Linked DNA regions of Macaca fascicularis. The protein of the gene in region 1 interacts with the protein of each later gene in a pairwise test. Links are inferred from orthologs where the notes say so. Each region holds a gene or a part of one and is shown on either strand. Other genes may lie near its edges.

What was found.
Region 2: the proteins of POC5 (region 1) and CETN1 interact in binary tests that used the Homo sapiens proteins (3 or more experiments, as listed by UniProt). The link is inferred for Macaca fascicularis from reciprocal best matches to the Homo sapiens genes POC5 and CETN1.

What each region holds. Positions count from the first base shown.
Region 1 is NC_088380.1:79,687,523-79,692,678, reverse strand, and holds part of POC5 (centrosomal protein POC5), read left to right. Parts: intron 1-3,015; coding exon 3,016-3,192; intron 3,193-3,672; coding exon of another isoform or gene 3,673-3,702; exon of another isoform or gene 3,703-5,156. UniProt on the Homo sapiens protein: Essential for the assembly of the distal half of centrioles, required for centriole elongation. Acts as a negative regulator of centriole elongation.
Region 2 is NC_088392.1:69,236,582-69,241,092, reverse strand, and holds CETN1 (centrin-1), read right to left. Parts: upstream 3,306-4,511; 5' UTR 3,139-3,305; coding exon 2,620-3,138; 3' UTR 1,432-2,619; downstream 1-1,431. UniProt on the Homo sapiens protein: Plays a fundamental role in microtubule-organizing center structure and function. Plays a role in sperm cilia formation.

The sequences.
Region 1 (5,156 bases):
ATCTAATACATTATTGTATCTTAAAACATAAATATGTATTAATTTACTAGTTTTTAATGTGGAGCCAGATTGAATGTGGGGGTCAAAGATTGTAATTTTCATCTTTTTTTTAATATAAACTACACCCAATATATTTTCTGTGTTCTCCAGTTACAGTTTCTGTAAAGCATGAACCTAACAAAACTTCCCGAACAATCTGATTATAGAATCCTTCTAGGTTTTTCTTTCCTCCCCCTGATTTAGTAGCAACTTTTTTCTAATAATTTATCTTTATGAATTATTTCTAAAATGTTCTTATACATTTTCAAAACTTTTTTATCAATTTACACAATTTTTAATACCTTAAATAAACATTAACAAGTACAAATGGCAAACCATCTGAAAACAAGCAGCCGACAGTAAACATGCATTTAAGACAACTTCTGTTTAATTCAAATGAGCGCGTAGAGATTTCTTTTAGAAGTCATTTTATTTACAGGAGTATATATTTTCAAATTACTGAAGGCATTCTAAAGCAATTCTGAGCTGAGTTGAATGAAATTTATCATCTATGAGCAATTTTCCCACTACTCTAATTTTCTTTAGTCCCGATTTCTCTAGTCTTTCATTCACACCTGAAGCTCCAGGAGAGAATCACGGCTACTGAGAGGACACCCCTCAAGTGTGATTGGGCAGGAGGAAAGTTACAAACTCAGTTGTACTTCATTTTCCACATTTTGGCAAAGAATATTCCTGCCAGCAATTAGTTTTGTATTTTAAAATAGCATTTAAGCATCTTTAGGAGTTTGTAAAATATTTTTTGTCCCTTATTGTAATAAGTAATAAGATAAAGTTCCCCTCAGGCCAGAAGCATGAATTTAGTCCACAAAAACATATTTGTAAATATTTTTAAATCTGAGATTTTTAGTTTATCAAATTCATAAGATCCATAGAAGTTTATGGTTTAAAAAGCCAAATCATTTTTACAAGGACTGTAGTGAGAAACAGTCTTCTAAATCCCTCTCCCTAACTCTGTCAGCTATTTCTTCTGTTTCCATTTTTTCCTAAATAATATGTCTATATCATTATTTCTACATTTCTTAATTTCAAATATCTGTTAACTTATTACAGATAAAAAGGACTTGGCCTCCTTATGCCACCTTATTCCTTCTCTCTCTCTTCACTTTCCTCATCCTCCCTGTATGTAAATATTTAGTTACAGATATTCCAATTTCAGATTAAATCATTTATGATGACTAATATAGCTAAGCCATGAATGTATACTATGACTACATTTCCTTTCTGGTATAATGTTTTGTTTTAGAATTAATTGCTTCATTTTTATCTTCGGTTTTCTCTCCAACTGTAGTGAATTATTTCCGAACTCTCCAGGGATTACGGAACCCTACTGAATGCTGTTTTCCGTAGGGTCTTCCAAAAACATCAATACTCCGTCTTTTTAATTATCCCCGAGACATCTCTCCTGAAGCCCACTCTCTTCCCATTTCAATGTATAGCTGTGACTATGTGTAGCTAGGTGCAGAATCTAGCTACACACAGAATATGGAGAATCACAGATGAACTATAATAATCGGGAAAACATTGATACTTAATAAATGCCTTTGGAAAAACTGTTTAGAGAAAAAATGAATTTAGATTAATACTTCACACTGAAATTTCAAATGTTTTAATAAGTTAAGCCAAAATAAGTAAATGTTGTGAGAGTATAACTACCTCAGCTGTCCAAAGCTGATTTTGGTTTCATCATGGAAGCAAGAGGAAATTAATGACAGGATTAACCACAACTTAAAAAAATGGATGTGCATTGAAGATTAAGACAAATAAATGAAATGAGGAAATTGTTTACACTTTTAGATAAGTATCTATAATTATTAAATGAGTTTACTATTCATCAGGAACTATTTTTAAAAATTTAAATATTAATATCCTTTCAATTCTTAGCAAATAAGATGGATAGTTGACAAAATGGAATACAAATATGAAACATTAATAAGGAACCACAAATTGAATAGTAGATTTCACCTCAGACTTAAACGAGCAGGTGTGTAATTGATTGACAGTGCAAAAATAGTCCACTTATGTGTTATTCTTGCTGTAAATATTTTTCTGGAGTATCATCCAGCAGTAAGCAACAAAAGCTATAAAAGCTGATAATACTTTTTGATATGATCGTTCCATTGTTTGCAATATATTATACAGAAGTAACTAAAAAGAGGATTTTTCTTTTGCAAAATGTGCTAAATGTAATAGAAAAAGAAAGACAAAGTAGTTCGTTGGTATAAAAACCATCTCATTAAGAACTATAGCAGGTCTCTGTATTACCTCATGAAAAAAATATATTGATAAAATGAGATGGAAAAAAGGCAGAACACAGAAACATATGTGTAATGATAATATTAATTATGCTTAAGGATGAAAAAGTCCATAAAACAGATTAATGGTTGCCGGGGCTTAAGGATGGTTGGGGAAGGAACGGAGAGATGGGTATGACTGTCAAGAGTGGCCCGAGGGAGATCTTCGTGGTGATGAGTATTCTGTATCTTGATTGAGTGATAGTTAATGGGAACTTAGGTGATAAAATGACAGAGATCTATATACAGGCATTATGTCATGTTGAGCTTCCTGGTTTTGACTTTGTTATATTCTGATTATGTCAGATGTAACCATGGCAAGAAACTGGGTAAAGAGCACACAGTACTTTTCAATATGATCCCTGTGTCTTCCTGTAAATCTATCATTATTTCAAAATAAAAAGTTGATGTTTTAAGTTTCTAAAATCTTATAAAATTGTTGGCATACTCAGGTTAAAGGGATATTTTGGGGTGTTCGGTTTTGTGCTTTGCATTTTGTCTTGTGATTTTGTTTGATTTTTTCCATGTTAAAGTTGGTTGAACGTACAATTATTTTAAGTGCCTGTGTGTTTTCTTCGTAATTTATGGAATCAAATTAATAGAAGTTTTGCTGTGGATTTTCTGCCACCTCATTACTTCTTTTATTTTTTTTTTTTCTTCTTAGTATGTGCCAAGAGTTGTAACCTCTGCACAACAGAAAGCAGGAAGAACTATTACAGCCCGGATCACAGGAAGATGTGATTTTGCTTCAAAAAATAGAATTAGCAGCGGTTTAGCTATAATGGGAGTTTCTCCTCCCATGAGCTCAGTTGTTGTGGAAAAACATCATCCAGTCACAGTGGTGAGTCCACATTTGATGACCTTTTGTCAAAAAGTCTTTTTCCTGAGAGTTCACAGACTAGTAAACACTTACATAACATGTTGAGAAGATAAGAATTTATGATGACTGGTACTTGTTCTGCCTTTTCCTGATACAGTTTTTTTGTTTGTTTGTTTGTTTTTATACTTGTATTTCTCCAACCTGCTATAAATCTACCTTTCTGCTGTTGGGAAATTAATTTCAGAAACATCGTTTCTTCCAAACTGTAAAAATTATAAAATACTAAAAGTAATCCAGTGTGTTTGTGGTCAAAAGAGTAAAATATGTAAAGGATTTATTATCCGTTTAAAAAGAGACAAAAATTTTTCACTCACTGGTTCAAACAATTCTCCTGCCTCAGCCTCCCGAGTGGGTGGGATTACAGGTGCCCGCCACCACAGCCAGCTAATTTCAGGGACTGATTTTAAAAGAGAATGCCCACTCTTTCCTTGCCTAACGCAGCCATGGCTCGTGGTCCCAAGAAGCATCTGAAGCGGGTAGCAGCTCCAAAGCATTGGATACTGGATAAATTGAGTGGTGTGTTTGCTCCTCGTCCATCCACCGGTCCCCACAAGTTGAGTGTCTCCCCCTCATCATTTTCCTAAGGAACAGACTTAAGTATGCCCTGACAGGAGATGAAGTAAAAAAGATTTGCATGCAGCGGTTCATTAAGATCAATGGCAAGGTCCGAACTGATATAACCCAGCCTGCTGGATTCATGGATGTCATCAGCATTGACAAGACGGGAGAGAATTTCTGTCTGATCTGACACCAAGGGTCGCTTTGCTGTACATCGTATTACACCTGAGGAGGCCAAGTACAAGTTATGCAGAGTGAGAAAGATCTTTGTGGGCACAAAAGGAATCCCTCATCTGGTGACTCATGATGCCTGCACCATCCGCTACCCCGATCCCCTCATCAAGGTGAATGATACCATTCAGATTGATTTGGAGGCTGGCAAGATTACTGATTTCGTCAAGTTCGACACTGGTAACCTGTGTATGGTGACTGGAGGTGCTAACCTGGGAAGAACTGGTGTGACCACCAACAGAGAGAGGCACCCTGGATCTTTTGACGTTGTTCACATGAAAGATGCCAATGGCAACAGCTTTGCCACTCGACTTTCCAACATTTTTGTTATTGGCAAGGGCAACAAACCATGGATTTCTCTTCCCCGAGGAAAGGGTATCCGCCTCACCATTGCTGAAGGGAGAGACAAAAGACTGGCAGCCAAACAGAGCAGTGGGTGAAATGGGTCCCTGGGTGACATGTCAGACCTTTGTACGTAATTAAAAATATTGTGGCAGAGAAAAAAAAAAAGAGAGAGAGAATGCCCTCTATGAATTCTCAGCATTGGACAACATTCCTATGTACTTACTAAGTATTAGCAAAAACAAAAGTACGTGGAATGATTTTAAATCCTTTTTTCCTGAGTACTAGCTGGTCACTAGATGATTAAATGAAGACAAGCTGGATTGATTTGAACTGAACTTCAGGTGAAGTGGGACCTTAGCGAGGTGGAATGCTGGAGATAGAAGCACCAAGTCCAGAGAGACACATGGAGATGACGGAGGATTTATTTTAGGATTATCTTAGGTTTCATGTTTCATAAGTTGGACAGACTCTGAAAGTTCATAGAAGACTTTTCTATATATTTTTGAATATGGAAGACAAGTTACCAAAAATGAGAAGAAATGAATGCATTTCTGTTTTTTCAGATGTAGAAAATGTATAGAGATGGTGAGAGACTGTCTATTTGTGAGGTAAAGGCGTAAAGAGAGCACATACGTGTTTATTTTTTATTAGACAACCTTTTGTAATAATAAGAATTCATATTTTACAGAAGACAAAGAACTAAACATTTAGAACCCTTGTTTTTGATACTTATCTCCCATGCTGCCCTCCCTTTATTCAGTACGTGCATTCCTTCCCCACTAACTGCATAT
Region 2 (4,511 bases), on another chromosome or scaffold:
AGTGACTGACAGTCAATGAGAAGTTTTAAAGGCCCAAATTCCTCGTCCCAATTTGGAATGCCTTGGGACCAGCCAATCTCTCTCTCTCTCTTTTTTTTTTTTTTTTTTTTTGAAAGAGTCTTGCTCTGTCAACCAGGCTGGAGTACAGTGGCATGATTTTGGCTCACTGCAACCTCTGATCACCAGGTTCAAGCCATTGTCCTGCCTCAGCCTCCCACGTAGCTGGGATTACAGGAGGGCACCACCACGCCCTGCTAATTTTTGTAATTTGAGTAGAAACAGGGTTTTACGATGTTACCCGGGCTGGTCTCCAACTCCTGATCTCAAGTGATCCACCTGCCTTGGCCTCCCACAGTGCTGGGATTACAGGCGTGAGCCACTGCACCTGGCCAGTTCTTCCCAATCTTTATAGCCGTGTTTCCTCATCTGCAAATAGTTGTCTGCAGATTTCCATTGAATTTTTTTGTGTTCTACTTTTGTAAAGACTAAGAGACATGGCTGGCCCAGCCAATGTATGATTAACTTATCTTAAAATTTAAATGCCAGTTTAGGCTTGTTCCAGTAGACCCTCCTCCCCTTGTCCCCATATTCTCTAGAGTATGAGCCTATTGAGAGGCAGGAGAATGCACTATTCAGTGAATTGAGAGGTTCTTCCCTGGCAGTGAGTGGGATTCAGAAATATTCTGGAGCCCCCTTTCCTTGTTTGGAATGGACCATGCCCTCAGGCCACCCCTGTAAGGCCTGAGGTGTGTGGCCAGCCCGACCGCTGGGCTTCAGCCTGGGTTCCTGGTTTTCTCTTCTATCATCTGCTGGGCCAGTAGCCAAGACTGAGCCCAGTCCAGTTGGCTGAGACTCTGCTTCTCCTAGTTTCTGCCAACTTTCTTTGTTTCTGGTATTTCTACTTTTAATTCATACGTTGATCCTTGGGCCAAGACTCTGGTCAACAGGATACCAGGAACTCATGCTTCCCAGAATACCCCTTCCTCCCCCCGCCCTCAGATCAGGCCCTTCATACTGATGTTGGCCCAAGTTGTACCTGTTCCCATCCTGACTGCACCTGAGTCCACACTAAGACCTTGAACCTGAACCATTAGCATCTTGCAGCCTGGGTGAGTTCCCCTGCCCTGTGCCAGGCACCTCAGCAAAATCCTCACAGTGAATACTTCCATACCCATCACTTCAGCTAGTACTGCCCCTTTGACAAATTAGTCCCTGTTAATGAGAATTAAGTCCAGGGTAGTTTGTTCCCCTGATTAGATCCACACCCTCTGAAGGGTAAAATTGCTGGCAAAGCAAGTGAAATGTTCCCAGAATTTGAGCATTTATCTTAATGGGGCTTTGTATGAGGATTTAATTTAGGTTTAGTTGTGACCAAAATATCCTGCCTTTTTGTTTTGTTGCCTATTATTAAAACACTAGTCAAAGCCTCCATCTCAGCAGATCTATTTATTTTCCCACAATTACATTTAAAAATTTTTCTTTACCTTCAGATTTGTAGATATTCAAAATGATAGCTATCTTACTCCAAAGCAAGAAAGAATTTATAACAGAAAACAAGCAGTATTAACACATAAACAAGCCACAGTGGAACAGTTTACTGGGATTTGTAAAGTAGAGCACTACTTAAACGCCAGACACTCTAACATCAACTATATGTCAGAGGGGCTAAAAGTCAAGTACCAAGAAACAAGATGTTCTAAGGATTGGCGGGGAGAAAGTGTCTTATAATCAAGCAGTAATGAGATGACTAAGGTTTTAATAGTCTGATATCTAAGATATTTGTTGATATTTCCAAGGACTGTAAGTAGCTTAAAATGTTATATTAAGGTATTCCCTACAATTTCCTAAACTAAGATCCTACATTTGTAGATATTTACTCAAAATCATTTGTTAGCATAACCTCTTAAGCAAATTATACTTTGCTTGGGCCAGTATTAGATTTTATTTTTATTCTGTAGCCCAGGTATACATACTAGCCCTAGATAAATGCACGGTGGACAATTTACACACAAACGAAGAATCATTTGCACGTATGAAGCCAGTGAATAGTCTAAATTGCACAACGTACTACCACCCAAGCAAGCCTATTCTTTAAAAGATTATCTGTCCTGAGCTCAGTAAGTTTGTAAGTGGCCACTCTGTTTTCCTTCAAACTGGTATTCAGCTAAGTGGACAGGCTAGGCAAATCTACTGGCAGATTCCATCTCATTATGCTGGAACAATGACTGGAATTTAAGGAATGATATATGAAGCAAGATAATTTAAGACCACCAAAGAAGTGACAAAGGGAATCACATTTTTGTGTGTCCCAGAAGTTGTCCTGCCTCCAGCTCAACGGATGTCTCTGCAAGTTCAGCACAGGGCAAATGGAGGGCGCACTCAAACTTCAGGGCCCTTTGTTTAACCTTATGTGCTCCAGGTAGGCTCTTGAGAATTAAAAACCAAAACTCACATTACAAGCATCTTTCAAATTCTATAATTGAACTAGAGATATGGAAATAGATCTAGACAAATTATGGGGGTGAGGGGGTGAAGAAGGGACAGGCAACCGCGGTCCTCTAAGGTTTCACAAAATGGAAGCGGGGAACCCAGAGAGTCACTTTAGCTTCTGAACCGACTTCAGTAAAGGTTGGTCTTCTTCATGATCCGAAGGAACTCCTCCTCATTCACTTCGCCGTCCCCGTCCCGATCAGCTTCGTCGATCATCTCCTGCAGCTCCTCATCCGTGAGGTTTTCCCCCAGCTCGTTGGCCACGCGCTTCAGGTTTTTGAACGAGATCTTCCCGGTCTCATCGTCATCAAAGAGCCTGAAGGCCTTCAGGATTTCTTCTTTGGTGTCCTTCTCGGACATCTTCTGAGTCATCACGGCCAGGAAGTCATTGAAGCTGATCTTCCCCGTGCCTTCCTTGTCCACCTCGGAGATCATCTTCTTCATCTCTTCCTTCCTGGGTTCGAAGCCCAGAGCTCTCATGGCCACCTTCAGCTCCTTCACGTCGATGGTCCCGCTTCCGTCCGCGTCAAAGAGGTCAAACGCTTCCCGAACTTCTTGCTTCTGATCTTCAGTGAGCTCGGGCTTAGGCGCCAACTTTCTCTTTTGGCTGGTGGGGGCGGCGCTGGGCTTCTTGAAGCTGGAAGCCATTCTCCCGCCTCGGCTGTGATCCCAACGGCGCCGCCCCGCGCTCGCGCTCCGGCGCCCCCAGCTGGCGCGGCGCGGGGCCACCCGTAGTTCACCGCCAACCCCTAAGTCCGTTGGGGGTTGGAGCGGGCCTGAGGAGACTCTTCCTACGCCCCCACATCTGCGAGATCCTGTTCACGCGAGAATCCGCAGTTCCCTCGGTATTACCCAGTTTCCACGAGTTGACGCCTGAGCTGGAAAACAGCTTGTAGCCGCCGTGGTCTTCCGTAATTGACTGGAGCTGGCAGTTCTTTCCAAGATATTTGCTAGCATCCATAAGACCCCAGTTTTATAGTTTTATAGGTTTATTTAGAGCCTCTGTCTCTCTCTCTCTTTTGACAGGAGTGTACTGGTGCCACTCGGCTTACTGCAGCCTCCACCTTCCAGGATCAAGTGATCCTCCCACCTCAGCCTCCATAGTAGCTGAGACTACAGGGCATGCCACTACACCCTGCTAAATTAAAAAAAATCTTTTTTTTTTTTTGTAGAGACAAAATCTCACTATGTTGCCCAGGCTGGTCTGAAACTCCTGGGCTCAAGGGATCTTCCTGCCCCAGCCTTCCAAAGTGCTGGAATTATAAGCATGAGCCACCAAGCCTGGCCTCTCCTTTTGATATTAATTTAAAAACCCTCTTGTTCTGGCTGCAACACACAATGGGGTGATAGAGCCTAAGGGTAAATTTAGGATAATCAAGATTGAGTGTGATCACTTGACATTCAATGTGGGGAAGGAGAAGGAAGAGAGAATATTAAAAGTCATACCATGTGTTCAACTTGACATAAATGGGAAACAGAGAAAATGGAAAAATTTATGTATAAAATTTGTAGAAGTTTGTCTCCTGACATTACACTCAACAATCATAAAATGTTTCTGGAATGTTCTCACATATGAAATGTAATATCCAAATGTATGATTTACTTTCAGTGTTTCCATTTTACATACTCAGTATAATTACACTTGAATGATGGTCATAATTTCATTCACAAGGCTTTTGATTTGGAGGGAGGAAATTTGAAATACTACATTCTGGTATTCTAGTTTTTTTTTTTTTTTTTTTTCTCTAACCCCCTAGCAGCATATTACTCTCCTTGCTTATCATCCAATCAGAGCTGTGCTGAAACCCACGCTCTGGTAGCCTTCCTTTGGCAGTGGGCACAGGAGATGATGCAGGACATGTTGGGACTCAAAATTGCCTCCTGGGAATAAAGGGGTTCTCCTACAAACCAAAGAGTAAGAGAAAAATGGAAAAGAAAGAAAAAAATTACCAAATAAGCCCACCAAGGAATTACCTGTAGAATTACTTTGTATTTCTTTAAATGGTTACAGAAAAGAAAGC